2 linked regions of the Oreochromis niloticus genome follow. The protein of the gene in region 2 interacts with the protein of the main gene of each other region in a biochemical or structural test. Links are inferred from orthologs where the notes say so. Each region holds a gene or a part of one and is shown on either strand. Other genes may lie near its edges.

The links.
Region 1: the proteins of eif2s2 (region 2) and eif2s1b form a complex in vitro, tested with the Homo sapiens proteins (2 studies listed by BioGRID and IntAct). The link is inferred for Oreochromis niloticus from reciprocal best matches to the Homo sapiens genes EIF2S2 and EIF2S1.

What each region holds. Positions count from the first base shown.
Region 1 is NC_031980.2:14,220,194-14,236,156, reverse strand, and holds eif2s1b (eukaryotic translation initiation factor 2 subunit 1b), read left to right. Parts: upstream 1-8,752; 5' UTR 8,753-8,912; intron 8,913-9,022; exon of another isoform or gene 9,023-9,153; intron 9,154-11,261; 5' UTR 11,262-11,263; coding exon 11,264-11,504; intron 11,505-12,538; coding exon 12,539-12,618; intron 12,619-12,886; coding exon 12,887-13,038; intron 13,039-13,126; coding exon 13,127-13,233; intron 13,234-13,315; coding exon 13,316-13,413; intron 13,414-13,521; coding exon 13,522-13,665; intron 13,666-13,764; coding exon 13,765-13,890; 3' UTR 13,891-14,460; downstream 14,461-15,963. Other genes in the region: pals1b (MAGUK p55 subfamily member 5b), read left to right, coding at 1-109, 350-552, 821-931, 1,997-2,173; atp6v1d (V-type proton ATPase subunit D), read right to left, coding at 4,661-4,805, 5,033-5,111, 5,196-5,262, 5,638-5,741, 5,846-5,890, 5,973-6,040, 6,129-6,208, 6,492-6,609 and 1 more. UniProt on the Homo sapiens protein: Member of the eIF2 complex that functions in the early steps of protein synthesis by forming a ternary complex with GTP and initiator tRNA. This complex binds to a 40S ribosomal subunit, followed by mRNA binding to form a 43S pre-initiation complex (43S PIC).
Region 2 is NC_031984.2:24,621,308-24,636,576, reverse strand, and holds eif2s2 (eukaryotic translation initiation factor 2 subunit 2), read right to left. Parts: upstream 8,433-15,269; 5' UTR 8,290-8,432; coding exon 8,275-8,289; intron 7,260-8,274; coding exon 7,076-7,259; intron 6,984-7,075; coding exon 6,883-6,983; intron 6,761-6,882; coding exon 6,631-6,760; intron 6,537-6,630; coding exon 6,436-6,536; intron 5,782-6,435; coding exon 5,633-5,781; intron 5,520-5,632; coding exon 5,463-5,519; intron 5,349-5,462; coding exon 5,263-5,348; intron 5,154-5,262; coding exon 4,978-5,153; 3' UTR 3,770-4,977; downstream 1-3,769. Other genes in the region: serine/arginine-rich splicing factor 6, read right to left, coding at 1,395-1,555, 1,991-2,097; charged multivesicular body protein 4b, read right to left, coding at 12,842-12,906, 13,654-13,780, 15,013-15,127.

The sequences.
Region 1 (15,963 bases), on a different chromosome or scaffold from region 2:
AACCGCAAACGCCCCATAGCTCTGATCGGCCCAACAAACAGCGGTCACGATGAGCTGCGCCGGAGGCTTCTTTCCATCGAACCCGAGAAGTTTGCCGTCGCTGTTCCACGTAAGTCTCCGCTTGGTCAAAGCGACAGAGCCCAGAGCGAGGCGACGTGAAATGTTAATCACAGACCTCAGATGAGGAGCGGAACGTGTTTCTGGTGTTCAGTAAAGAAGTGAAACCATTTAACTTATCACATAATGCACAACTGTTTGTCACACAAAGAAATTAAAAAATATATATCTAGACAACGTAAAGCTCAGAAAATGAGTAAAACAGTTATATCTGTCCTCCTTAACGGCTCAGACACAACCAGGAGCCCGAGGATACATGAGCGGAATGGGCGCGAGTACCATTTTGTAACTCGTTCTGCCTTTGAAGCCGACTTGGCGACGGGGAAGTTCATCGAATCGGGGGAGTACGAGAAGAACTTGTACGGCACCAGCACAGACTCCGTCCGACACGTCATCAACTCTGGACGCATCTGTCTGCTCTGCCTACACACAAGGGTAGGAGACCTCGTTACTGTCCAGACACTAACATGTTAATTACAAAGCCCGTTAGATCCTCCCTCATCTGTGATCTTAACCACTGTGGCCCTGCCAGAACATAATGACCCCTTTTCATTTCCTCAACATAAATCTTAATCCTGTTTAAGCCTGATCAAAGCTGAAATAACACATTTGAAGACACCATATTTAATCTGTGTTTTTTTTCCTTGTGCTGCTCTTTCCATTCATTTTGTTTCTTTGTGCCTTGATTTTTTTCTTCTGTCAGTCACTGCGAGTCCTGAGATCCTCCAACCTTAAGCCATATGTGATCTTCATAGCGCCTCCTTCTCAGGAGCGACTACGCACCCTGCTGGCCACAGAGGGGAAAACACCAAAGGTAAACGCTGACCAGCTCAGAAAAGAAAACATAGTTCAGGCAGAGCAGGGAACGACCATTAGTTACTCACATATATTGCAAAAAATCTGGTCTCTAACTCACAGAATCGTCATGAGATAGTAAAGCTAGAGGTAAGATGCACGCAAACCAAACAAAAGTGAAATTGTGTGTAAACACAAAGGCAAAAATGGGCATTGTTTCATCAGTCATGGAGAGCAGTACATACACATAGTCCTGTTTATAAATTGCATACAGTGTTAGCCCAATTTCCGAACCCAGCGTTAGTCATGAATTAATAATTCATGTAATTTTGCTTGTTGAAAAAGACTCTTTAGACCATAAACTCTTAGACAAAATTGTGACTAAAGAAGTAAAGAAGTAGAGAGAAGGAAAGGTGTTTGGTTTAATGGTTTCAGAAACAACCAAGCCCACACAAACGCTTTGTGACTGTTTGGCTGTGAAAAGCACTTAATTAATAAATAAATTTTACTTACTTTACTAAATAAAATGACAGCATCACATCATCGGCTTTTCAAAAGTCTGTCAGCACAGCACCAGTCTTTGAAGTAGTGCCGGCCAAGATAATGATATACAAATAAAAATAAAAAATGGATCAAAAAACAAAAACAAGATCTCATCCTTTTCATTTATGTGTTAACTTATAGAGAAAGAAGAATTTATAGCATCACCTGAAGAGAAAGGCAAATCAGTTTTACTCTTTTATGACGAACAAAAGGTGATTCCATAATAAAAAATGCCTTTTTTTAAAATTATTTTAAATTTTATCACACTATTTTTGACTTGAACTTCATAACAGACTTACTCTAAAAAAACAACAACACATGAGACATTCTTATAGATCGCAGTTAACATGTGTGGAAAAGTCCCAGGCACGTTTTTATGTGTGTACACCGTTGTTTAAATGTATTGGATCCAAATTTAGATATAAAAATCAGTAGATAAACATTATCTCTGTTCATGAAGACTGCTATTGAGAATGAAGACCTGTAATAATAAGAGTCACTACTGCAGTTTCTTGAACTGATGTCCATCTCCTGTGCACAGCCGGAGATGCTGAAGGAGGTCATTGAAAAGGCCCGCGAGATGGAGCAAAATTTCGGCCACTACTTTGATGCGACCATCTTGAACGTGGATCCAGACCAGGCTTTCCACGAGCTGCGCAGGCTGATAGATAAACTGGACACTGAGCCCCAGTGGGTGCCCACGTCCTGGCTGTGTTAGAGGTCACTGTGTCCCAGCACCATGATTTGGAGGAGGTAAACAGAAGACTGGAGAGTGAAAAACAAACCAAGGACGGTTGGTAAACTGTCACTGGAATTTGACTTGCACATTTTCCTCGTTTGTAGAGGAGGTGATCGTTACAGGGATGGACTCAATTTTAATCTTTGATTTTGTTGTCGGTGTGTGTGTCTGTTGGTGATTTTTGTTTCTCTGTTGATCTCAGTTTTATGCAAAGTCATTTATCAACAAAATAGAACCATTTCTATTCTATGCTTAATAGTTATTTATAATTGTACATACATATTTTCTAGACCAAAGGATCAAGTGTTGTGTGTGTGAGAGTCTTTATGTGTTGGTTTTTAATTGGCTCCCTGATGAAACAGCAGATCAGAAACTCTTTAGGTACCAAACAGAAGAGAAGGATCAGTGCTTTAAGTGGCTGCAGGGCACCGTCTTCCACTCAGAAGTACAGGAGAGAGATCTGCTGTAATCTGCACAGTTTGGAGGTACTTCCATTGTCAGTATTTTATTTTGTGTCTCATTTTATGATTTTACGCTGTGATAACAAACCACTGTAGCTGGTTGTCGTTACAAACAGTAATGCTGCTAAGTACTGCCGAGTTTCTGGTTTTATTTTTTTTGTTTTTCTATCAGTATTGATAAGAGCTGTTATCAGTTAGTGTGATTCCAATTCCAACAAATACTGTATTGATTCTTTGCAGTTCATTTGCAAATTCATAGGCACAATTCTGTGCTCATGAATTGTTAATAAAATAAAACACATGTGAACAAGTCACATATTTTGTCTGGCTTTTATATCAAAGAGAAGGTTTTCTTTTTATCTTTTCTGTAGTTCTGAGTTTTCATTTCAGTTCAGATTCCAGGTTTGGTTTTTAGTTTTTGTTTTCAGTGTTAGTTTTATTTTTTATATGGTTATATTTGGGTATTTGTCAGGACAAGATTGTTCAGAAGTTCAGAAAATATATATTGAGCAGCCACCTTGTTAGATACATTTGTACCTGGTTTGAATGAATAGTCTAAACCAGCGGTCCCCAACCTTTTTGCGCCACGTACCGGTTTATGTCCGACAGTATTTTCACGGACCAGCCTTTGGTGTCACGGATAAATACAACAAAATAAAACCAGTAACAGTACCAAAAAAAGAAGATCCTAACACATGGGAAAAGACCCAGGGAAACAGAGTTAACAATAAAAACCCTGAAAACCATAAATTTCACACACGAGCCTCAACTCTCGTGGCCCGATACCTGTTACTGGTCTGTGGCCCTGGGGTTGGGGACCGCTGGTCTAAACCACTAGCTACTTGTCAGGGCCAAGATATGCAGAAGAGCATCTCCAAATGCACAATATATTGAACCTTGAAGCAGGTTCAATATAGAGGATCAAACCGGCTGCAGCTAAGGACAGGAAGCAATAACCATGTCCATCAAAGCCATCAGGCACGTTTTCAAAACAAATCTGACCAAACTGGCAAAAGACTTATCAGCATGCTAGATTTTTTTTCTTTCATAAGTTTAGATTGCAGTTAAAAACATTTTTCGACGCAGAGTGTTAATGTGTCTAAATCTACTGTGGTGCCACTCTTGCCCAGAGCCACTGGGTAACTAACTAAAGTTCCTTATTCAGTTTCTCCTCTCACTTAAATGGGGTGTATCCAATAGTGAGAACACCTCTGAAATGGATTTCCTTTGAAAAAAGATAACTTTTAATTTTTTAAAATGCATTTTAAATACATTTAGCATTCTGGTCCCAAATTGCCATCATTCCTTATCTATAGAGTTGCTTAAACACAGTATAATTTGCACTTGATTAAAGGTTTGAAGCCGTCTCTTAGCAGTCTTCCCCAATTGTCTTTACATATGGAACTTAAAATGTTTTCCCTTCAGTGGGGGGGAAAAAAAAGAAATTCAATCAGTGGTTGAATATTTAGAACATCTTTATTTGGATGAAGTGTTGGGCTGTTTTGACTTGCACATCACATTTTACAACAGGGTCACATTGGGGCTTCTGGTGAAATGGTAAACAGCCTCCAGTGAGGTAACAGGAACCGCACGATATGAAGTGAGCAGCGGGACGGGTCTCCACGGCGCACACTCGCACCCTCTGAAATCCACAACCACTTTAAGCTGTACAGCATGCAATGCCTCTATATATGATAAAACTTGAATATCTACAAGGTGATCAGTCACACGGGACGCTTCTTTATCATCACTTGCACACCATGTGTAAACATACTCATTGTAATATTTGCTTAATTTTTTAGAGACTGCTTTGGTCTCACTTGTGTATTATACCGAACAGCACTTTGATCCCTGTACACATCTGGAAACACTCAGAACAAATCATCACGACGTGGACACAAAAAAAAGAAACAACTTTCATCGCTGACGTAAAGAGACGCAGACTTGGCCAGAAAGGCACAGAATAAATAAAAGGATTAGTGAAGTCGGTGGCCTATAATGCTCCTCACTCAAACAGCAGATCTTCATCCGCCTCCTCTGTCAGCATGTTGGCGGGCTCAGCGATGGGTCCCAGAGCAGCTAAACGGGCGGCTATTTCCAACTCCGTCTTTTCCCTTAGCTGCTTCTTCTTCTCTTGGATCTTCTTCAGTCTGGCAAAGCAGAGAGCAGAGAACATTCTGTGTTATAACCAAAAATTGAGGATTGCGCAGTCTGGTTTTGGACTTAAGTTGCTGGGGTAGTGACAGAATGAATTCGGAGCTGTGGACAGCCAGCTGGAACAAGAATATCTAATAAACATGCAAAAGATGCCTCCTGATAAGTTTTTTATAGGTTTATGCACTAAAACCTTCACAAGGCAGACAGAAAACATCGTCACCTGTAAAACTCCTCTCGCTCCCTCTCATCCAGCTCTGTGATGATGTAGGTGAGGGTGCGATCAATCCTGGGAATAATCACTGCAAAGCGGATTCAAAATTATTTTAGCTGCACCAACCCTTATTTTATTTAAAAGGCTGCAGTTGAATGTTAAGTGTGTTTACCGTGCTCGATGGCGTTCACACGGCGGTTGGTGATCTTTATGGCTTCATCCAGAGTGACAAAAGATGTCTGCAAACCAAAATTGAGCAATTTTTAACACTTAAACTTCAGCTTTTCTAGAGTATAGATTACATTTCATCTGCATCTGTAATCCACACAAACTCAGTGTAATGAATGTATCCTTTGTGGAAATGTTATAGTGATATGCCACACAGCAGGAATACACAAACCATAGCGGGAGACGCTACCCCTTTGTCTTCATGAGTTGTTTTGGTCATTTAGGATGTGAGCCTTTGATTATACACTCACATTATGCACAGTTACATGTGAGATCATCAATACAATTTTAGTTTCATTGAGTGACGTTACATTGTGCTTTTTTCAATGATAATACCATCACCCTAACTATAAAGCATGCTTTTAATATGTAACAGCGCCTCCTACCTGTAAGGAGGCCAACTCCACAAGCAGCTCCACAGCTCTGGCATAGTTCCTCTTCAACCTCGAGAGCTGCTCTCCTCCTCTCGCCAAACCGGTGAGCTCATAACCTGACAGACACAAACACATCGTGGGGTGAGGAAGAGCGCTCTCTGCGATTCCCTTCAAACCCAATGTAGAGTTACACCAAACTCAGACATGTAACTGGACTTACTGTCTCCGCCTTCTTGGTAGTGTTCGAATACTGGAAGGGTGACACCTAAAAGAAGAAAAGCAGCAGATATTTTAAACAAAACAAAACAAAAAATGATTAAAAATGAGAAGATATTTTTGATGCTAACCTGCCACATTGTCTTTCTTGGCTCTGACCTTCACCTGGGCTTTGTTAACATTCTGGATTACAGTTGTGCTGTAGACAAAAACAACAGATGGAAGTTGTTTGTGTTTCTGCACCAGAACACAACATCACGTCGCTGACACGTTATTCTCATTCTTACCTGAAGTCTCCTGCAGCAAATTTAGCTTCAGCCAATGAGAAGGCAGCCTCCCTCATCACCTCTCCCATCTTGGTTTTAGTCTAAAAGTATAAACACACCTTTGGGAAACACGCAGCTGAAAGCCTTCATGAAGATTTTATTTCATGAGGTTTTGATTCAGACTGGCTGTAATTTGTTGGTTCATAACAATGAAGGTACCCAATTAATTACTATAGAAACACCTCTTAGTATCAGATTAATTGACCATTATCATGAGCTACAGCCTCCAACCAAAATGCATGATGTATGAATAAAGTATTTATCGCATCATCTGTTCTTTCAGACTGTATTAGGACCAAAAATGAAGGCTCATGTTAAACTGACTTCAATAATTTTGCGAAGGATCTGACGGAAGCGCATGGAGAGGGCATCGGACTTCTTCTTGAGCAGGTTGCGGCCGGTCTGTGCTCCCTTCAGCCGAGCCTTCATGATGGTCTGAGCCCTGCAAATCCAGAGAAACCCACATATTTTTAACACTCTATTTGAATCAGACAGTTAAATTAGGGGTAAAATGACACAACCAAGTTTCATTCATTTCATCTCCTTGTCATGTTTTCACTCAGACCTTAGGCCATCCCAAGGTCTCTGTCTCTCTTCCCTGGTAGTTGATACCCTCACCCCAGTTTTTTTTTTTTTAACCGGCATTTCAGATTTTCCTCTTTTCTCTCTCGACCTCTATGCTTGTTAAAGCTCTTTTTTTTTTTTTTTAATGGATTTGCTTCTAATTTTCCACATTTCATCATTTTATGTCATATACTGGTTCAATGGGTCATCTCTGAAGGACAGGAACAGCCTTAAAAACATTATTAAAGACGTATACTCCAAGAGTACCAAGTCCAAAGAAATGTGTAGTTCAGAAAGAAAAGGGTCTTATTAGTCAAGGTGGCCACATTCTCTCTAGTGAGTTTATTTCAATGCCCTCAGGGCAGGGCTATCATGCACCCATGAAGACAAAAAAACCACTACTGAAACTCCTCTGTTCCCTCTTCTATCAGGCTACTAAATGCTAATTGTCAAGAGTAGTAGTTTGTTCTGGAGCACCAGTGTGGTTCACTGGTTTTAGCAGGCAAACCTGTATATTATAGGGCTATAGTGTGGAGGCCTGGGTTCTAATTCAACTGGCCATTTGCTGGCTTACCTTAAAAAATGAATAAGTAGTAGTATCTGTTCTTCTCTTTCATCTAGCTAATGCATAAGTCCATGTGTTGTAGTTCTGGTGGGAGACCTTACAATGAGCTCCTGACAAGTTGAATTTTATCTGCTAAATAGCTAAGTAGTTGTAACTCACTTGTTATTGACTGCTCATTGACTTTTCATTTAAATTATCATGACTGATAACTTTCAATTTAAATAAAGGCTAAATAAAAATTTCCAAATCACAATCTTTCCCCAGCTCTTTCCAGACTTGAGCAGGTGACTCATATGCAATAAGGCTGCCTTAGGCCTGCGCTGGAATTTAACATGGCTCCATAGTGTAAAGGTTAGAGATCCCTGGATTAAGACCAGATAAATATGGGGATCCATCCTCTGTGGAGCCCTCTTTGTGAATAAGGGAGCAGCCGAAAACATACAGCCATCAACATTCAAGCCCACTTTTGTGTCACATTACTCACAGATTGTTACATGTTAGATTGTTAACGATGTCATCCTGATCGTCTCTAATATAAATTTACTACGTTGCTCTATGCTGAATCCCTTCCCATCCTGGAAGAGAGATCCCATTGATTTTCCTGAGATTTCTTCTGTTTTTTACCATTTCAGAATTTTAGAAATTTTCAGAATTTTCAGAATTTTTTTTCGGGAGGAGATCTTATCTGAACCAAGAGTCTACGGACAGAAGGTGTTACATGCTGTAATTTGTGTAATAGCGTTATTTTTAAAACAAGGTAAGGATCAACACAATCTGCACCACTCCTCTACATACACAGCTCACTGATATTTGCACCCAGGAGCTGATGAAAGGGTCAAACCTCTGTGTTATACTGTTTCAGTGGTCGTAAATCTAATATAACTGGATGCAGGTGAAATTAGGTTAAAATGAAGTCGCTCCGACTGACAGCTCACACTTGGATAATGTGAGAAATATCACATGACAGCAGAAGGATTCTTCCTCTTTTAAACGGTAACCTTGGCACAAAACAAAACGGCGATCCCTGCTTTTCAAATGCATGCAGAAAATTATCCACAACTTTCATATATAAAAGCAAATATGTCAACAAAACAGTGGTATATGAGCTTTAAGGAAGCTACATTGCTTTAGCAACTAGCCATCGCACAAGCTGCTTACATTCTGGAGGGGAATATGTCGATCCTGTCTTTTCCAGACATCTTTCCGTTTTTTGTCGATTACTGCGATTTTCAGTTCACTCCCGCTTCCCTAAATCAACACTACAACTTTAGCTTGAATCCTGAATTATTAATCTAGACATATAACAGCTAAAATCTCGCTCTTCGTGTAGGATTAGAAGAGCAGATCGAGTTGACGGTCGTGATCTTGTCGGCGATGATCAGCTGGCCCTCCGCGTCATGTGACCAAAGAACCAATCTCGTTCCGCACATGCGCGCGTGTGGAAGGTCCCTACGATCTTTTCCGGGTCGACAAATTAGCACACCCATGAATGTGAGCTAGCGGGCCTGAGTTACTCATTAAAAAAAACAAAACACCAGAAAGAAAACCGAATCTGACATTTAAACAAAGTCAGCACGGAACATTCAGGCGCGTCGTTCTGTAACCTTATGACACAGGTGAGTTTGTTTTATGAAGATGTCGTTTGGCGGGGACTGGGGAACGATCGGAACTGGCAGATAGCCGGCTAACAGCTTAGCCTGCGTGTGCCGCATGTGAGCTGGGCACCGGGTTATTAGCTGGGAAGCTAACTGATGTTGAAAGAAAGCGTTTCTGCGCTTGAATGAACATTCTTCTCGTGGTTTTAAATGTGATAACTAGGAAGTCATACAGTCGCTGGTAACACGTACTAAATATTTGGTAAGCAGCTTTTTGTGTCCATATTTTGTCGCCGATTCTCTATTTTAAACAGTAAGTGATTTTTCTGCGATGATGATGCGTTACATCAGTCCATTCACAGCAACAGGGGAAAAAGACAAATGGCAGAAGTTTGTTTCATTTCCCTGCTTTTATTTTATGTCCTGGATATTTGTATATAAGCTAAACCTGGGCTTTGACTTTTGTTCAGTGGGAAAACATAGAAACACAGATAAGTGGCTCCATTCAAACGGACTGGGACTTTTCGTTTAATATTAAAGGTATCTCTCTACTATTTTGTCCACACCTTTCTTGATAGTAGACTAAGGATTAGAAAGAAAACATCTTTATGGCCAAAGTCTTTTTACAGGTTAAAGCCTCTAAAAATGACCGCAACTAATATTTTAAAATCTGAGTAAAATAGAAAAAATGATACTTTTCATTACAGTGTTCTTCCATAAACGGATGTCTTTACTGGTAGCTGAATATACTTCATGAACAGGCACTGCAGTGTATAGTTAAAATACTCTGATGTAGAAAGGGATTGATGTTAATTGGCTGACTGCAGCATTTTTCAAACTCAGAGTACTTGTGGTTGCTGACATTGTGTCCCAGTTGCCTGTCTGTGGCCTGCATACCCATGATATCACATCAAGGTGGTTATCATCACAATAAGTTAACACACAGTTTATCAACTCTCAAAGAAATGGACTAGCCATATACCAGCCCAGATAGTGGGTCCTGGAAGATGAGCCGACTCTGACCCACCAAAGAGGCATGGCATTCGTAGTGGTTTACACAAGAGGAAGGGAGGAGACGACTATCACTAGAGGATGATTTATATGTAAATGTTAAACAGAGGCACAAGATACAATATCTAGAGTCTTAAATCAGGAGTGTTGAGATCAAAGAATGGGAAAACAAAGGTGATAGGATCTAAGGGTCAAACACTCCAGGGGGTAGGCTGCTGTCCTCAGGTTACAGGGACAACAGGATGTTGAAAGCAAAAGATTTGGGGAATAGTAAGTCTGTCCCCATATTTGTCATCTCAATCTAGCTACAAGTGCGCTTACATAAGAGAGTTGGCATTGGCTGCATCCAATCAGTCATAAACCTGGATAAGCCTACTGCCAACAGGGACGTTGATTTTACAGAGGAGAAAACTATGATATTAGAAGAATATGAAGTGGTCATACACATAATACAGGCTGAAAGCAGCACAGCTGCTGCATACCAGTCCAGGAGATCTTGAATGGAATGATGACGCTGTTTCAAGGAGAGTTTGTTTGGTCATTAGGCAGTGATTTCATACAAGCTAATCTAGAAGTTAACATGGTGATGTGCCCTGGTAACAGGGGATTTGTGCTTCTGTGTTGAAAGCCTATGTTGTAACCTGACGTGTAATTAGACATTGTGTGGATGCAGCCCACAACTATTATGATTGTTCTGTATTTTTGAGTCCTCTTGTGTATTTCTGACTACTTTTTCACAGCATAGTTTGTATTTTATTAGTGAGAGAATAATAATGCCTCTATAATTTGTGGCTGACCCCACATATAAAACACTGATTCACAACCATTAAGTAATTAACACGTAATAGACCGTGCACAAGCATGAATGGATCATGGGTCCTGCTCCCTTTAGGGGTCACCACACTAGACCCTCTCATTCTGTTTCTAGCATCTGCTCTGTCACATGCTCTGCATGTCTCTTTCACTACATCTAAAAGGAGGATTGTCAGAGGGATGGTGTGACAGATTATTCACAAATTACTATAATTGAGATTAAAAAAGACAAAGAAAACCAGAATGAAATAATTTATACATGGTTCTCTGCTAATTTAATGTTGAGCTTTGATTGTGTTTAGTTGTGGGACTTCTTTTTAAACAACCTTTGGTGAAAACTGAAGCAGTGGAGGCAGAGATGCTAGTTACAAGTTATTGACCATTTTTTATTAACTAGAAAAAAAATTGTATTTATTAGTACTGAAACACCAAGTTACAGGGCGAGCAGTACTTTTCACAGTGTTTAAAACTGCAAAGTGAAGATTTGTGCCATGACTTGCAGACGTTAACCTCCCCCTGTCTTCTTAACTGTTTCTGACCTCACAGCAATGCCGGGGCTCAGCTGTCGATTTTACCAGCACCGGTTCCCAGAGGTGGAGGATGTCGTGATGGTGAACGTGAGGTCCATCGCTGAGATGGGCGCCTACGTCAGCCTTTTGGAGTACAACAACATTGAGGGCATGATCCTCCTGAGCGAGCTGTCGCGTCGACGTATCCGCTCCATCAACAAGCTCATCCGCATAGGCCGCAACGAGTGCGTGGTCGTCATCCGAGTAGACAAAGAGAAGGGTGAGTGTAGACTAATATAGTTGAAACTGGTGGCGTGTCGGATCTGCAGTGCCAAAGTGCTGGTGGAATAAAAACCATATGAAATGAGATCTTTTTGTGTGGTCCACATTTCCTTTTTTTGAATTGAAGTGTTATTCTGTGACGTCAGGTGGACTGTGGTTAGTAATATGATCAATAACTTACATTAAGTTATAGCATTCACCAGTTTAATATCAGGACAGTCTCACATGACACACAGAATATCTAATTTGGAATAATTAACGGGGACCTGCTCTAATGAGGTCACCATATGTATGGGTAATTCCTGAAGCTCAGGCTGCTTTTTAATGCACCATTTCAGACCCTTCTTGTGCTTTCGGCTCTGTATGATGTCACTAAGAGGTGATATCTTTATCTGTTCAACAGTTCTGTGGGAACTGCAGCTCCACCCACCTGCTGTTCAAAACTTCTCTTTTCCAGGGACAGCCCAGTCAGATGAAAGTTTGCCTTAAACAGCTTGTTTGAGAGAGTGGGTGAACTGAGGAACTGAGGCTCATTATAAGATGAATGAAGATGATGATTTTTGAGTTTATAATAACCACCACGCTGGCATCAAGTTGAAAAAACAGTAGTTACAAAAATGTAATTTAGAATAGCAGAATACCTCTATGCACAAATCTAAATGTACCTATTTAGATATTACATATTTCATACATTCAAAAAGAAAAAAGAAAAAGAAAACTAACATGAATTAAGCATGACCACTTTGAACTGAGCTACTGAACTGGACATTTTCTGCTTATCGTAAAATATACAGCTCATTTGACTCATATTACGTGACTATTTTCTTTATATAGATAGATAGTTGTGCAGTTTTGACCTGTGATCCATGTACAGCTGGTAATGAGGAAATAAAGACGAGCTCATTTTGAAACTTAGACCAGCAAGTGGCCATCAAATCCCTCCCTGTTAGTTAATCGTATCATTCTTAATTGTAAGAAACTACTTGCTGCACTAAAACAGCTTTTTTTGCATTCCTTCTGTTTTCTCCTCAGGATACATTGATTTATCAAAAAGAAGAGTTTCACCAGAGGAGGCCATCAAGTGTGAGGATAAATTCACCAAATCTAAAACTGTAAGTTGGTCAAATGCTTTTTATCTGTCTCGGTCATTTTGGTGCAAGTTGTCCAGCTCGTAGATGTCTTCCTTGTCTTGTGTACAGTTAAGTCGATGGAACTTGCCTTTGAGCCTTGTTGTGGTCAAAGGTAGTGGTTGTTTGGTTCAGGCGTTCATTATAATATTGTGAGACAAGTTAGATCTGTATTTGTAAGAAACTGTAAACAGCTATCTTGTTTGTTTTTACAATATTGTTTGGGCTGAGCTGATTTTTAAATTGTTTGCAGGTTTACAGCATCCTGCGACACGTGGCAGAGGTGTTGGAGTACACTAAGGACGAGCAGCTAGAGAGCTTGTACCAGCGCACCGCATGGGTCTTCGATGAGAAATACAAGCGGCCAGGATACGGCGCTTATGATGTCTTCAAACAGGCTGTATCGTAAGTTCTCATTTCAGCACTTCTTATTAAAATGAAACACAGGTTGTTCAGTGTGTGCACACATTTACATTTTGATGGCTTTCTGCAGAGATCCAGCTATTTTGGATGGGCTGGATTTAACAGAGGAGGAGAGGAATGTGTTGATTGATAACATCAACAGGCGACTCACTCCACAGGCTGTCAAGATCAGAGCAGGTGACTGTTTACTCACAGTGTTTCTCAGTTGGACTTAGGAATAAATTAGAAATGTGAAGATAACCTCCTCTACCTCGTGCAGACATTGAAGTGGCGTGCTATGGTTACGAGGGGATCGACGCCGTGAAAGAAGCTCTGAGGGCTGGGCTGGGCTGCTCCACAGAGGCCATGCCCATCAAGGTAATCTTTCTCTCTTCCATTAAGAAGTAAAAACTCTTATTTACCTTAATGAGTCTCTAGCTGTAGTCTCTACTTGGATTTCTCTCTCATGGCGTTTACCTTTTGCAGATCAACCTGATCGCTCCCCCTCGCTACGTGATGACGACGACCACCCTGGAGCGCACAGAGGGCCTCTCTGTCCTCAACCAGGCCATGGCTGCTATCAAGGAGAAGATTGAAGAGAAGAGGGGTGTCTTTAACATCCAGATGGAGGTGAATGATTTCACTTTTTTTTTTTGTCATGATCATGTTTGTTTTTAGCTCATCTGGCCAAAGGATCATTATGCTTAAACTGTAAACTTTGTCCTGCAGCCTAAGGTGGTGACGGACACGGATGAGACAGAGCTCGCCCGGCAGCTGGAGAGGTTAGAGCGCGAGAACGCCGAGGTGGATGGAGACGACGACGCTGAGGAGATGGAGGCCAAAGCAGAGGACTAAGAGTCGGTCCTCTTTGGAAAGCTGGTGGGGAGAAAAGCATCAAAGGAGGAAAGAAGAAAAGGAAACATGGACAGACCTGGCCTCAGTCACCCAGTCCAACAGATGTTAACTTTCACATTGCAACCATGAACTGGTGTTACTATTTTTATTGGCAACATCCCAGTTTGTTCAAGAGAGGTTTGTCTCAGAAGAAGGTAACTGAAAACGCAGTCTTTTTAACCAGACACGGACACAAGGATGGTTAAATTACAAGTTAAACATCACTTATAGTTTTTATTTTAACGTACCCCCATTTGATTAAATAACTCTAAAACAAGAAAAGCTGTTTTCAAGCTGTGGCCTTTCATTTTACCTCTTGCTTTAAGAGCCCGGTGTCTTCAGTATCCATGCCGCTTTATCTCCGGCTGCTCACTGGATGTGACTGACTGAAGGGGAAACGCATATGCTTCATCTGTCTCTACACCGGCCAGCGGTGACTTTATGTGCTGATTCTCTTCCAGTTAAAGGGTTTTTACTGGCTCTTGTTTAGCTCCCATCGTATCAATAAAGATCTGGAAGTTTTGATCTCAATGCCTTTTTGTCAGTCTAATTAAATTGTTCCACTAACAAGAAATAACATTTATTCTCCCAAAAAAGCAGCAATTATTAATATTGGATGAATTCAAGGTAAATCTCGTCGGTTACTCTCGCCTTTTTTGTTCTTTTTGTTTTTTTCAAATGGAGAGATTGTAATGAAGCCAACTGGAGATAGGTTTGACTGTATATCAACGTATGAATGCCAAGAACCCTAAACATTGGTTTAATATTCAGAAAACTTAGAACTCAGACTGTTTATCTGGAGGGAATTTTTTCTAAATTAGGGGACTTGTTACAAACTCATTGCTTTTTTAAGTTTCTTGCGTTTTAGTTTGAAACTTTAAGGCCCTATTTATTTTTCATTCTGCCAATTTAAGAGTTAGTTGAATTCTGATACAGGCAGCACAGTGGTTAGCACTGTTGCTTCACAGCAAAAAGGTCCTGAGTTCAACTCCATCAGGCTGGGATCTTTCTGTATAGAGTTTGCATGTTGTCCTCGTGTTTGCGTGAGTTCTCTGGCTTCCTCCCACAGTCTAAAGACATGCAATTAGTGGGGATAAGTTAATTGGAAACTCTAAATTGCCCATAAGTGTGAATGGTTGTCTGTGTTAGCCCAGCTGTTGAAAATCTGGTTATTTGTCTGCTCACAAAGAAACAGGGAACAGAAAAAAACCTTTAACCCTAAATCCAGCTCCATATTTTAGGACATGAACTGAAATTAATGGTTGTGATTTAATGCAAAACCAAAAAAGTCGAATGATTATAAAAATTATTTATTCAAATGTTCACCAATACAAAAACAAATGGAGAGCATCTTCACAATTTCAATTGTTTTCGTTCTTAGCTCATTTTCCTATAGTGGTTATGACGTGTGCTTTTACAGCGTTGAGGATGTCACATGGCCTATGGGTCTTGTCAGTAGACACATTTCAAATGACAACTAGATGTTTTAGAGATGGTCTGAAAACAACATGCCAGTTTGTCAGGAATGTGACAAATGTCAGGAGAGGGGGAAGAATTTGTGTATTAATTACAGAAATAAAATTCAGTTACGTCCAAAAACCCTTAATAAATACCCCTGTAATTATTTTAAAAACATCATAGCTGTAGTCATTCATACGCTTTAGTTTGTGTCTACTTAACCAACCCATATTCAACTGTAAGCCCAATTTCACAACTCAAGAATAGTTTGAGAAATGGTGAACTGTTTGTAGCAAACCTGCAAACTGTTCTCACTCAGTGTGTGTTGGCATGTATAAAAAAAAAAAAGAGTATGGGACTAAAGGGTCTCATCTCCAACACAGTGACCCTGGGTGGCCAGAGCTGTAGCTTCTTCATAACCAAATAATGACAAACTGTATATACACAAAAGCACACAGACACAATCAGCACCTGCAGAGTGGAGGTGGATGCAGCCTGAGTATGTTTAAACAGAAGAAGAAAAAAACAAAGGAGACCCAACAACTGGTGCAAATGTGAGAATGAGCAGAATCTGCA
Region 2 (15,269 bases):
TTTTCTGCTGCAAAGAACACCACTGCATCTGTTTCCGGCAATACAAAAAACACAAATCAGCATCTGTCTTACTCCAGTACATCACTCTGTGATGCTATAGCTGCATAAAACAAATGGACAGTGATGTTCTTTCAAGACCTCTGTATCCTGTAACACAAACAGAAAGGAGGCATCCACAAAGGCTGCAGTCAGGGACACTGTTCAAATTGATTACGGTGTTAAAAAACACACCAATCTTTTGAAAATTGGTATCTTTTTATTTAACCGGATGTCAGTCTGAAATTCTTTTTTTCCAGTTTTGAACTTACAACATTTCTTTAGATTGTAAGGTCTGTAAAGGTGCCGATCCACTTATGTTTGCTGTCAACATAAAAACCAATGGCAATCCTCACCATCACCCCTGGTCTATTGGCAAAAGGCTGCTGTCATCATGGCTTCCGGTTAGGTCAGCCAAGGATCAAGGGGGGGCAAAGGTCACACACACATTGTAAGGTGAAAGCCAAGGCCAAACGGGACAGGCAGTCATCTTAGCCAGTCATCTTTAGCCTCAATGGACTCTCAGCCTCAGCCCGCAACTGGACTCTTTCAAATTGAAACATCAAGGACTTTTGTTAATGTTGAATATAAAAAAAAATATATTTATATATATATAGACCAAAGTTAAAACACATTTCACATGAAAATGTTAGTCTACTCCTAATGACTACACTAACTAGGTAGCTATGCATGTCGTGATTTGTGTTCAGCTTGTTTTTTCCCCCTCTGGTGCAAAAAAGAAAGGACACCTTCACATGGCTCACCCAAATGACAGTTATGGTTCAAGTGAATTTTACAATGTATGATAAGAAAACTATGTTATTTAACAACACTAAACTCTAGACTCAAAACTGCTCTTTAAATCTCGCAGATTGTTGCCCCTTGCAATCAAATAAAGCAGTATCAAATAGCATGTAGCTCGTGATGATAATCACTATGGAGGAGCAAAAACCTGCAGGTCACTACCCCTTGGGTGACAGACTGAGAACTGTTCAGCAGGGTGATATCAAACCAAACTGGACTCCCTGATTTATAAGAATGAAGATAAATCATGGTTGCATGTGATGAAGTTACTGCATGATATAATGGACAACATGAACAATAGCTCTACTGACAGTCCTACAACTCTGCATGCAACCTGCGCCTTAAAGAGCTACCCACGCGGCTGGCTATAACCCATGAGGGGTAGCTGGAAAAACCTGATCGAGGGCCAGCTGAGTATCTGTAAACCTATGCGGCAAGTCTGTTAAAATTAGCGTCACCATGAATCATTCAAACAGCTGTCTGTGCAGTCCACGTCGACACCTCACCCCAAGGGGAAGGGGAAGAGAGGGTATCTTGTAATAGACTGCACTTACTGCGCCCACCACCCCAGTAACCCCCACCGTAGCCATCTCGGTCTCGTCGCGGGCCCCGGGCATGCTCGACGATCACCCGCTCCCCACACAGCTCCTTCCCGTTTAGCTCGTAAACGGCGTCGTCGGCGTCCCTATTATCTTCGAACTCCACGAATCCATACCTGCAAAAAGAAAGGGTTTAAATGCATGAGTATGAAATACTAAAAACCACATGAAATTAGTTTAAGCAATGCGTTCCCGTTTACTTCCACGAATCAACTAGCTAATTAGCGTTAGCATACGTTAGCACAGCGACGTGCACAGTATAAGGACGCCATGTTGGCCACGCGACATTTGCTAAACGTGCATGAATGAAGTTAAAGAAACAAAACCTTTTAGATTTACAAGGACAATGCTAAATGTCAGACATCGACATATTGTCCTTTAGAATCAAACTTAACTTGTAAAAAAATATAAACACATATATATATATATATATCTGCGTAAGAGTGAAATGCCCCGCGAGTCCGTGCGTCGTTCGCATGAATGGCTAGCTTTAATGCTAGCTACGACATGCTAGTTGGACTCTCGCTTACAAAATTCCGCCGAAAACTTACCCGTTTTTTAAATCAATCTCCATTAGCTTCCCATAGCCGCTGAAAAAACGCTGAATATCTTTTTCGCGGACATGATAGCTTAGTCGTCCGATATAAACTCGAGGCATTGTGGTTCGCCTACAGTGGTTCTCGACTGTTCCTTTCCACTGCTCCGAAATTGCTGAATGCTACTACCGTTAGCTCTGCGCCAGCAACCGGTCGGCTGTTTCGCCAAATCCAGCCAATAAGCGTGAAGCTAACGATGATCAATTTCCGGAACAGAACTTCAAATTAAAAGCTACCGTTTATCACACAAAACCGCAGACAGTACGCACAGGAGAGGAAAATACTAGTTAAATCCTATGTAAAATCTACCCCAGTCATTTCCAACTAGAGGCATTTTGTAACTGTAGTTTGCATTGGGTACATACAGAGATCATCTTAACTAATTCAAAAAAGGAAAAAAAAAACAAAGAAAAAGAAAACACCTCCAGTCACAAAAACTAGGTAGTTAAAAAAACATACATCTAAACAGTAAATTGTTGGAATAGTAAAGTCTCTATTGCAATAAAGTTGACTTTAAAAATTCCCGTTAGCAGCCAATCACAGAACCAGCCTTCAGTTTATTCACTCCGTTGGTATTACCATTTCTGATGCATATGGCCCACAGCTGCGTGACGGATTATCTCTATCATTTATAATTTCTGTTTAAAGCCTCTGTGCTGGCCTTTCATGTGGTTACCCAGGTAGTCATAGTCCTCCACCACATCAGCAGTCTGTCCCAGAATACACACGGTTCGTGTCCTTCTGAAAGTCAGTCACCAACTTCTTTGGTCTTATTCACATTCAGAAGTGGATACTTCCTCAATGACCACTCCACAAATTCATTAACTTTTGCTCTGAATGCCTATTTCCTCCTCATCACTTAAACATCCAGCTGCTGCAGAATCAGAGTATTTCTTTAGGCGACATCACCTGGAGTTGCACTGATTGAAAGTCTGAGTTGTACAAAGTGAAGCAGAACTGAGACAGCATAGCCTCAATGGTTTGATAACTATTGGATAAATTGGCGAACTATATCTATAGCATCCATATTCTGACTCCAAATAGTATAAGTGCAAAGTTTGTGAATTTAACTTAAACATCCATGGTTTGGCTGTATAAAATTGTTGAAACACATTTATAATATGGCAAGTGGTGGAGATTAATGAGTACTTATCTGATAGGCTATGTGCTTAAGTCTGGCTGGTTATGACAGATTTATGTGACTTATAAATCAGTGATTGATGTGTTCGCCTGCATACTGGTAGTTTAAGCACAGCTAAAAAAACAACAACTATTATATAATGATATAGTGACATTTGGGCCTGCAGAGGAAACCTAACAATGGCACCCAGTTTCCATATTATCCTGCAGTCAGGTTCCAAATAAATCTGCAACTCGACATGTTATTACCGATCTCAAGGACATTGTCTCCAGTTACCATGGTTATCAGCTGCTCATGTTTTAACCTTGTGGGTCTGTGTTTGTATCATTACAGCAAACCGTGGGCCTCACAAGGACCGTCAATCACATCTGAGCAAGTCACACAAATAAGACTTAAATATTTTAATGGGACTCGAAAAAAATGGCCATATCTATAAACGGGTGAAGCGAGGGGGGCATAATGACGAGAGCCAAAGCCGTTCACTGATCATTACGACCTTTTTCCATTGCGACAGAGTGAAAACATCATAACGTCATTACCATGACTGACAATTACTAAACAGGCACTGTCATTAATGCAAGCAGAGAAAGTAGTGGAGAGAGAGAGTAGAATATTTTATTTTTGTAAAAACCAGGTTTTAAAATGATTCCAGCGAGACCTTTATATTCACATTCCTCTCAAAACAATTAAGATTGATACTTATTGATAGACTCTGGTGTAAATTTCTTTAACCACACTGCAAAATAGGAACCTGAAGGAGGAGACGATCTGAGGTGCCTGCTCAGAAGTTGTTTATTATTACTTTATTATTTTAGTGACTGGCGTTAGCTCATGAATCCTGCTCATCGGAGAGAGAAAAAAAAAGAGAAAAATTGAATCTTTATTTTCAAATTGACTTCATCAAACCTCAAGTGGCTGACAAAATTTTCTAATCAAATAAGTACACAAACTGCTCATCAGTGCCACAAAAGCACTCACAAACATACTGTATAATAATAATTTCTACTCGTCTCATAAACAGCCTCCTTTATTAGAGTACTCTTAATGTTGCTCTCCCCTTCATCAGCCCCCAAGTCTTCTGGTTTTGTGTCTCCTGCTACAAAATGATCAAAAGCAGGTCCTGTGTTAGGAGCCTCACACACTAGTTTCAGTGACATGTTCCTGTATGTACTCCAGCCCCGTGACTGATTTGTCTCTATAAGCTTGAGTAGAAAATCCTAGACTGACAGTTTTTTGTATTATCATTTAGGACAAGAGCAGAAACATGAACACACCCTTTAGTTGAGTTCAAGAAAAAAAACTATTCCTAGGCTCTGTTACTGTAGATGAACTTACCTTATCTACAATTTGGCTAATCTGAAGAAATATTAATGTCTGGTGCATGTAAAGTGGGAGAAAATAAACAAAAAGTAAACTTCAAGCTGTGTTAAATCAAGGTTTTTTTTGGAGGAATCAAGAATCACAGCAAATAGGAAACAGAAAAAAAACAAACAAACAAAAAAAAAAAACCCCTAAGAGCTGGAGGGTCCACCAACCAAACAAATCAAATGCTTTCAGCAGTGTATGTGTCAAACATCTGTTGTTTAACAGGTGCCTGAACCCTATCTGTCATCTTTAGACACTCTCACTCCCTGTCAGGTCAGGCCGTGACACAACCAAAATGACAGCCAAACCCTCCCGCAGTTCGATTCAGAGAGTCCTTTTAGCAGATCAAGCGGGCGCCCGACCCCAGCTTCGGCCCTTCTGATGGGGAAAGATCGGACCGTGAGAAGAGGTGGGGGGAGCCCAGTTTTAATGGCCTTTAGTTAGCTTTGGCGCGGAGCTGCGCCCTCTTGCCCGTCACAGCCTGGAAACCGGTCTTGATGCTGGCAACGGAGCAGCGGGAGTGGCACGTCTCACACTGCAGGAAATAGAGACGAGTGTCCTTCTGCAGGATGGTCTCCGGTGAGCGGCAGGTGTGACACGTCACATATTCCTCTGCAGGGGTGAGAACAGTCCACTCAACATTACTGTTCACAAGCAGGGACGGTTTAATTTTACCCCATCAATGTAACTTCACTGTAAAGAACATGTCATTCCTACTTACTGATATATCTTCTCAACACATTTTCTATCTGTTTCTGTTGAAATCTGCCTTTGATCACAAGCTGGTTATTTCCGTCAATGGAGCCGCTGTTAACAGAGAAAAACGCAAATTAAACTTTTACTTAAAGTGAACACACAAAAACAAAACGTGCCACAAACTTAGCTTGAGAACTGACACCACTTAAAATACAAAAAGCGTACCTCGTTCCCAGCTCAGCCAATAGAAAAGCGAGGAGATGTTTAGGCTGACGATGCAACCTGTGATTAATCGCATGAAAAAAACATAAAAATATCAGTTTGTGAATCACACATACTACAAGTGTCACTGAGATGCATCTGTCAGTAAATATAAAAAGCTACACGAGGCTCACAGTTTGCAGATGTCTGTGAAATTGACAAAGGAGGTTTTCTTGGTTCCCACTCGGACCACCTGGGGAGGCTTCATCACAAACTTCCTCTTCTCCCCAGCCACCATGTCGGGGTTCTTCTCCCTCATTATGTTGAAGACTCTGTTCAGGAGCTGGAACAGAGACAATACTGTGACTTTGTTTTTTTTGTCTATGTTCATAAAGTTTTCAATACAGAATATAAAAGGACAGAAGTTCAGAGCCCTCTGGGATCAGCTGAGAATAAAAAAAATAAATAAAAAGGTAAGCAGTGTGTAAATCTGTGCTGTTTATAAACCCTGTTCTCAAACTGGTAAATCCACCTTTATAATTTTACAAACCGTTTCACTCATTTCCTCATAGAACAATAAGTGGGGGATTTTAACAACTCTATTCAAAAAGTACATTTAATGCCGTTAAATATTCAGTGCAAAACTCAATACAACTTCAACATAAATGTAGATAAAAGCACTAAGTTAGTGGACACTGGCTCTATTCAGGCAGAAACTGTTTGCAAAGTAATTCCAGTTTAAAAAAATCTGTGGGGATGGGGCTCACAAAACCAAATGGGCTAAGGTCTTAACATCAGGACATTTATTAATGAGAGAGAGAAAAATACAACAGTCTATTATGTCTATGCGTACACAGCCTCACACAGTACAAAACAACCAAAAACAGTCTAATATTTATCCCACTTTACAGGAAATAACTTCACAAACAACTGTGACAGCTCTTTTTCTGCCTTTCCAGAATTGTTTCTAACTCTCTCATTTCACGTATCATCCTACCTCGTCGTAGGTGTAGTCTCTTTCCGAACCAGCCCAGGCTGGTCCTGTGGAAGAGCTGAAGGAGATCCCATCACCGTTCTTGCCATCATCATCATCCGGTGCTGGGAGAAAAAAAAGAAAAATTACATTATGGGTCAAAGATCCCTGTCCCTTGTTTCGGTTCCTAAGTTTCAAAACCATGCGATTTCATCGTACCGTCATCTTTCTCAGCGGTCTCACTATCATCGAAATCTACTTTTTTTGGCTTCTTCTTTTTGGTAAGGAAATTCACATCCAGGTTGTCCTCCTCCATAGCTTCCGTCTGCTCGCCTTCAATTTTCAGCTCCTGGTTTGGACAAGTGAAAAGTGAAACTCAGCATGTGAAAGTTATTGGTAAGCCAATCCAAATCAGTAGAAGCAAAAAGTTAAAAGTAATGCAAAATCAGAAAATGTTTATCAATGGCTGACCTTCAATCCCTCCTCGATATCATTTTCAAACACTTTCTTGGGTTTCTTCTTCTTTTTCTTCTGGTTGAAGAAGTTTAGGTCGTTCAAGTCATCCGACGTCTCTGGAAAAAAAACAAAAAACCCTTTGAGCTCTTAACTCTACACAACATAGTTGTGAACTGATACCGCACCTTAAATAGATCTAAAGTCTAACCTTTCTTCCTGCCTTCATCTTCATCTAGATCCACCTCTTTGTCATCTCCAGCCTCTGGTTCTGCCTCCTTTGTCTCCACCTCCTTAGCTTCTTCTCCTCCTGTCCCTTCTCCTCCGTCCTCCTCCAGCATGAAGGGCTTCTTCTTCTTCTTTTTCTTCTTAGTCATGTTGGGATCGAAAATCATCTGAAAAAGAGTGAATAAAAAAATAACATTAAAATAAATATTGAAATGCTGTCAAGCTTCATTTAGTACAGACACTTTATGGTTGCTTTAAATATACATAACGTTGACTGTTTCATCAGATTTTCCTTTTGAGTGGCTGTGGGAGTTAGTGTGAAAATTTTTTGCTTGTGAAATTTAGTTTTGTTTTCAGTTATGAAAACTGGACTGTGGAAAGACGCTATTTTTTCCATTATAGGCCAAAAGAAGTAACACGAAGTCATATCAAGGACTGAACAAAGAAAACAACAGATAACAAAATGCTGCATATCATCTTTACAGACAGAGGCTGGACTCTTGAGTTGATTCAGTGTACACTGAGTGACACACTGAGCGTGTCAGTACACTATTAAGAAAACTACCTACTGCTGTAGGTTTCTTAATAAAACGGCTTGAGGTAAAGCAACCCTCCAGAATTTTTAACTAACATATTGCACAGACTGCCCCCATTCAGTTAGAAAAATAATAATAAAAATAAAAATGTCGTACTATTAACATTAAGCAGCGGTGATTCTGGTATTTTGGTTTTATTTTACAGCCACAGGAGCCGTCCTTAAGGACAAACCGAGGTACAGAAAGCTTTTTGTCTCCAGCAGAAAACGTTAACAGTTAGCTCCGCAGCTCTGGTAACGGGAAGCTAAGGCTACATTGCTAGCTTCCACTCTTCTCTGAGAGTCCGGCGGAAGCTGCGACAGCTTGGATTGATGAGCCACGCTCAGAATAAATAACGTATATGCTCCGATAAATAGCTGTATATCAATATAATTGATGATTTTCTTGATATTCCGGCTGGCTCGGGCCGTGCTAGCCCGACTGCAGCAGCCATGTGAGCGCTACTGCGGACAGAAAGGGAGGGAGCAGCAGAGTCGAGGCCCAAAGTCATCCTCAGCACCGATGTGCGCCTGAAACTCAACGAATTCCGTCCAACAGTTCTTCACACCTACACAGATTAAACAGCGTCTGACTCGGAGTGCCTTACCTCGTCTCCTGACATGTTTGCGTGCTGAACAGTGAAATAAAAATGCCTCTTCTTTCTTCCTCGATCAGTCCCACACCGCTTCGCCCAAAATTTCTTGCATCAGCGTATGACTACAGTGCGCAAGCGTGAAGTCGCCAAATCCTGACGTGCTCGTGGTGACACCCCTTTCTGCGCTTGCGCATTGGCATTTTTTAGGGAACGTTCAAGATCGTGACTCAGAAATAATAAATTGGTGCTAAATATGCACGTTGTCGTTTTTATATAGTTCATTTTTTACAGTTATAATAGTAAAAAATTAAACCTTCATTTATCAACAACAAACTAGTCATTATAACATTACGATAGAAAATAATATTTAAGTAAAAAAAGGACTGAGAATATCAGCGAGAATAGTACCAGAAAAAAGGAAAGAAAATCAACTTGAATACAATTAAATAATACAGTAAAAATAAACTTACAAAACAAATTAAAAAAATTATAAACAGCATGCTCTACATTATCAGGCCATATTTCACTTTGTTGCAATCCTGACTAAGGAATTTTCATTTTCTGACGTGAACCTTTGAAAGTAAACAAATACCAAAATGAACACACCCATAAAGAATGTGGTCCAATGTTTCACTATGTGTTTGACAGAATAAACAGGAAATATTTAATGTTAAATTGCTGTCTTAGAAAATCATTGCAATTAAATATAATTTATCATTCTGAAGTGTGTTTCTTTTGCCTCTTAGGAAGGTTGGCAGGGATAGGTATCTGTTTCTAACCCTGCTAGTCTCAGGTAATCTTTCATCAGATTTTCTAGCCCTGCTAGTCTCAGGTAATCTTTCATCAGATTTTCTAACCCTGCTAGTCTCAGGTAATCTTTCATCAGATTTTCTAGCCCTGCTAGTCTCAGGTAATGTTTCATCAGATTTTCCTTTTGAGTGGCAGTGGGAGTTTGTTTGAACATTTTCTTCTTGTCAAATTTAGACAATTGATATAAAGCATAGGTAAATTTGGCTATAACACCTGCTATCAACGCTGTATAGCCCATTCTTTCTTTACAACCTGGAGCATATCTTTTAAAAGCATATCTTTTATTATGTATTTCCCCTTCTGATCTCATAATGATTGTCATAATGTCACAATGACTGTATACAGCCACTGATTATTATGTAAATATTTGCCGCTATGTAGCTAATGTGCTATATCCAGAATAATAGTTGTACTTTAAAGGAAAAATCATTGAGGTCTGATAAACAGGCACCATTTTTCAAGACTACAAAAGACCAGTGACACGGCAAATTGATTTTCTCTTTAGTTAAACTTTGTTGAATGAATACAAAACCTGGATATTTTAGGTTTTAGTGTCTTTGGAGTTAAAACCCCCCAAAAATGACCAGTTGCTTATCTCGTCTTTGTCTTTAAATCTCCTTTAAAAAGATTTTGTTAATATTTGTTTTTTGGTGTTTTTGTGATGCGAAAAGAAAAGAAAAAAGCTCCAGCTACACAACCCGTGCTTATCCTGGAACAAGATGCTGATGTGGTGGAGGACTACAGGTACCTGTGAGTCCACTTGAACAGCTGAAGAGAAGATCAACACAGATCTCAGTTTCCAAAGGAAGCTGAGATGCTCCAATATGTGAAGAGACATCATGGAGATGTTCATCACGTAGATGTGACGAGCACAGTGGACTTTGTTCTGCTGGGGGAGCTGGCGACACCAACAGAATGAGTAAACTGACCAGGAAGGCTGGCTCAGTGACTGGCCATCCTCTCCTATACTTACCCAACTGCCGCTCCCTCAAGAGACAGATACAGGAAATATTTCATGTTAAATTGGCGTCTTAGAAAATCATTGCAATCAAAAAATTTTTTTTATCATGTTGAAGTGTGTTTCTTTTGCCTTTTAGGAATGTTGGCAGGGATAGGTATCTGTTTCTAACCCTGCTAGTCTCAGGTAATCTTTCATCACATTACCTGAGACTGGCAGGGTTAGACAATATTTCATCAGATTTTTTTTAGCCCTGCTAGTCTCAGGTAATCTTTCATTACATTTTCTAGCCCTGCTAGTCTCAGGTAATCTTTCATCACATTTTCCTTTTGAGTGGCAGTGGGAGTTTGTTTGAACATTTTCTTCCTGTCAAATTTAGACAGTTGATATAAAGCATAGGTAAACTTGGCTATAACACCTGCTATCAATGCTGTATAGCCCATTCTTTCTTTACAACCTGGAGCATATCTTTTATTATGTATTTCCCCTTCTGATCTCATGACCTTCTGATCTCATAATGATTGTCATAATGTCACAATGACTGTATACAGCCGTTGATTATTATGTAAATATTTGCCGCTATGTAGCTAATGTGCTATATCCAGAATAATAGTTGTACTTTAAAGGAAAATCATTGAGGTCTGATAAACAGGCACCATTTTTCAAAACTACAAAAGACCAGTGACACGGCAAATTGATTTTCCCTTTAGTTAAACTTTGTTGAATGAATACAAAACCTGGATATTTTAGGTTTTAGTGTCTTTGGAACAGACCAGTTACTGTTCTCGTCTTTAAATCGCCTTTAAAAAGATTTTGTTAATATTTGTTTTTTGGTGTTTTTATGATGGAAAAAGAAAAGGAAAAAAACCTCCAGCTACACAACCCGTGCTTATCCTGGAACAAGATGCTGATGTGGTGGAGGACTACAGGTACCTGTGAGTCCACTTGAACGGCTGAAGAGAAGATCAACACAGATCTCAGTTTCCAAAGGAAGCTGAGATGCTCCAATATGTGATGCGACATCATGGAGATGTTCATCACGTAGATGTGACGAGCACAGTGGACTTTGTTCTGCTGGGGGAGCTGGCGACACCAACAGAATGAGTAAACTGACCAGGAAGGCTGGCTCAGTGACTGGCCATCCTCTCCTATACTTACCCAACTGCCGCTCCCTCAAGAGACAGATACAGGAAATATTTCATGCCACATCCCATCACAACATATCTGAATGGTAGTAAGGTATCTGCCAGAAAATAATAAATTATTATTGTTGATTTTGACTGCTAAAAAAAAGATTCTGTCATCATTGTCTTGTTTAAAGTACAAGACTGGAGTGATTTTAGAAATACTCTGTAACAAAGCTTTAGTTACCAATTTAATATTCAAGCTAAAAATGTACTCGCTGAGGTTTTTCTTCACTCACACTTTGTTTCTTTCTCTGGTGATCTGCTTAACTTAGTCATTTGACCAAAAACCAAAACCAAAACAAAACGCATGAACAGACAATGCTTCCACCACAATGAAAGAATTGAAAACCATTTAATGATTCGCAAATAATATTCTCATCTGGATAAATAAAACATAGAAATGCAAACATGCTTATCCATTTGTCCTCGTGTTACGTTTTCTATGTAAAAAATGTACATCATGTTGCTGAAAAACTAAAGGAATTCAACTCTTTTAAACTCTGAAATGCATGTGGTGTAGATTGGCTATAATCTAATCTTTTATAAACCACCATCTCCCTCTGGATGCAGTTAATAAGGTGTGACAACTGTTTAATATTACTAGTTTCTTTTTTTCCTTTTTCTTTTAAACATACATTTTGAAATGAAAACCTTTATGAGTGGGACAGACAGAGGAGGATGAAAGTGGTAGGTTATACATCTCTCTTACTAGCCGTGTGGTGTCACCTGTGTCGTGATTTCCCCACCGTTGCATGCTTCACGCAGCATCAACCGAAGCGCTCAATGGCAGCAATAATGCAGTGTACTTAAACAAAACAAACAAACAAACAAACAAACCCCCCCCCACCACACACACTCAGCTGGGATATTTACACCAAAGAACGAGAACCACTGATGGGGTTGGGAGGGTAAGGGGAGAGGCAAAGAAGGAGCGAGGGGGAGGAGGTCGAAGAACCCAACCTGAAATGAAAGAAGAGGTTTGGATTCTGGCAAACACACACAGCTCAAAGCTTCTTCAGCCAGCACACGCTCAGCTGAACCTTCATTTCCAGAGCAGTTAACAAGACGAGGGAGCAACGGGTTATTTTGTCAAGAAAATAAAAAAACAAAAAACAACAACACAAAAAAATGCCACAAATAGGTAAACGGGAGAAATCGGAAAGATTTTTTAAGCATTAATCATCCTTAAACACCCCCCCCCCCCCCCCTTATCATCCAGCGATGTTAACAATGCCAACAGCTTGGTAAATAACTCCATCTACTGCACCATCCAGCTCATAACACCACCCCGCGACATGAAATCTGTGGCCACCAGCATGGCACACAACAAGGACCACAAAGTGCTGCATTAAAATTGAGGGTAAAAATATTAGGTGACTTTGTCCAGTATAGCAGACCCTCACGGGCTCATTTGTACTGAGCACCTTGGGGGTCTCTAAAGGGGAAAAGGAAAAGAAAGACTACAGCATTGTTGCTTTTTTTGTTTTGTAGTGTTACACATAAAGTAGACAGTCCACTCTCCTCAGACACACAGAAACACTCAGACACAACATCCCATCAGTCCATTCGTTCCCCCCTTTTTCCTTTCCTCTCCGATGCAGGTGTGATGTGGCGGATGCTGCATTTACATGGCTTCCATCGCCCAGCGCTGCAGGTCCTCCATGTCGTCCTCGTCCTCCTCTTTCCTGGCTGTGGGAGGGAGGAGGAGGACAGAAATAAAAGATGTGATCTGAGGATCTCATCAAATCCTCATTCAGCATTAATCACTTCTAGGCAGTACTATTGTAATTCATTATTACAAAATACTGCTGCAAGAGCACTGACAGGGACTAGAAAGAGACAACACATTTCTCCCATACTGGCTTCTCTTCATTGGCTTCCTGATAAATCCAGGATTGAATTTAAAATCCTCTCCTCAGGTTCAAGGTCTTGTATAATAATTCCATTCGAGCACTTTACTCTCAGACACTACTTATATACTTTATACTTTTAATATTAGGCTTAAAACTTTCTTTTTGATAAAGCATATAGTTAGGGCTGGATAAGCTGACCATGTGACCTTTGGGGCAAGTGCCTGCTCATAAGGGATCGTCTGCTTGTTTTTTTTCCTTTATTATAACAGCATCTTTAGCTCAGGATAAAGGTAAAGATCCTATGAAATAAAGCTCCTTGAGGAAACCGCTGTTGTGATTTGGTGCTATATAACTAAAAATAAAACCATTGCAGCAGCATCACTGAAAGTTAGTAATTAACAGTTTGTATCTCCAGCGAACAACGTAAAAAATGCGATGCGAATGGTTACACACCAGGTCACCTAGCAACTCCTGAGAGCCAGCAGCAACACCTAAATCTTCTCTAAAGCAGGACAAAACAAACACACAAACCTGCAGTCGGGGTTGCTAAAGTGTTTCATGGCTTTTCTTGAAGAGTTCTTACCAGGTCTGGAAGGTAATGAGGTCGAAGGCACATTGGGGAGAGGAGCGGTCTCGGGTCCACCGATCTCCAGCAGATTTTTGTCCAGCTCTTCCTGTTCCAGCTCGTCCAGCTCGGCAAGCAGCTCATCCTGAGAAGCAAAGAAATTGACCCCAAGGATGAAGACCAGCACCAATGTATTCATACCAGCAAAAGCAAAAAGATATAAAAACTAATAACCAGACTCGGCTATACTGGGTTAACCCAATATCATTATCAGTGCAACATTCACACTCCAAACACGGGATAAAAGCAACTCTCTAAGATATGAGTAATGATATTTCTGAGTCAGGCGTATAAAAAGATGCTTATGTCATGTGCAGTAAAATCCCATCATCATCGTCTTTTGCATCTTTGCTTAGATAAGCAAAGATACAAAATACAGAACGATTTCACTGTGGCCAAGAGGATTCACGGTGGAACACAGCAGAATTTAGAAATGTGTTTAATGTGAATGAGAAAGGATTAGAATAGACACTGGAAACCAGTAACAACTAGACAGATGTAGGGCATAGACATAGTATAAACTAAGTATGGAGCATATGCATAAATGCACATTTAAATAACTGTACGTGTATGTGGTTGTGGGAGGCTGTGTGTTAAAGCCCAGTGTCTCTCTACACTCTCTCCGTTGTGTGGTTCAACTGCTTTGCATGCTCGTTAGTGTGCAGAGCCCTTCTCCTGATTGGTCCCTGGTTCTTCATTACTCTACCTTCTACATTTGCTGATGGACTGCTGCCCCAGTCCTGTGTTCCAAACAAGCTCCAGATTATTACAGAAGCTGGCTGGAAGGGGCTGCCAGTTTCATCTTTATATATATGCACCATGCATGACTACTCTGTGTACAGACAACAGATCTCAAGGTGGTACCAAAGGTTGAGGTTTTTTCTTTTAAATGTGGGTGTAGTTGTTTTTTGTCTCCTTTTGTGAAAAAAGACATCAAAAAACATTTTAAAAGAATCTATTAAAACCTTTTAGGTGCAACTCCACCTTCTCCATCTTGGTTAAAGCACACTTTAACGTGCCTACAAGCCAGGGTCGTAACAGTGTGTATCTGCAGTTATCAATATGTTGCTGTGGATGCAAGTACATATGAACCCTCCTGTACCATTTCGTTTTTTTGATTTAAGCTTAGAATGGAGTCTTTTTTCTTTAATCATCATTACCTGTTTTATTTTGCTATGCTCTCAATTTATTTTTGGTAATAAAATCTGTGAATAAAATGAGGCACTTGCACGTTTAGAATCACAAATATTTAATACTAACAGATGACAGATATACCACATAAATGTAAACAGAAAACACCTGAAGAGCTTCACCTACCTCATCAAACTCCTCTCCAAAGCCCACAGGTTTAGAGATGGCGTCAGAGATTTCCTGGGCCAGTTCCTGCTGCTCTGTAATGTCCTGCATCAGTTCATCCACTTTGTCAATGTCCCTGAAATAAGAAGGAAAGAGTGTGAGCAAAGAGAATTCACTCATATAAGTTTTATAAAAGAGGCTATTTAATCTAAATATGACGATTAGATGTGTGAGTAGTTCTACGGTAAAAACTAAGGAGGATGTCAGGCTTTTAATAT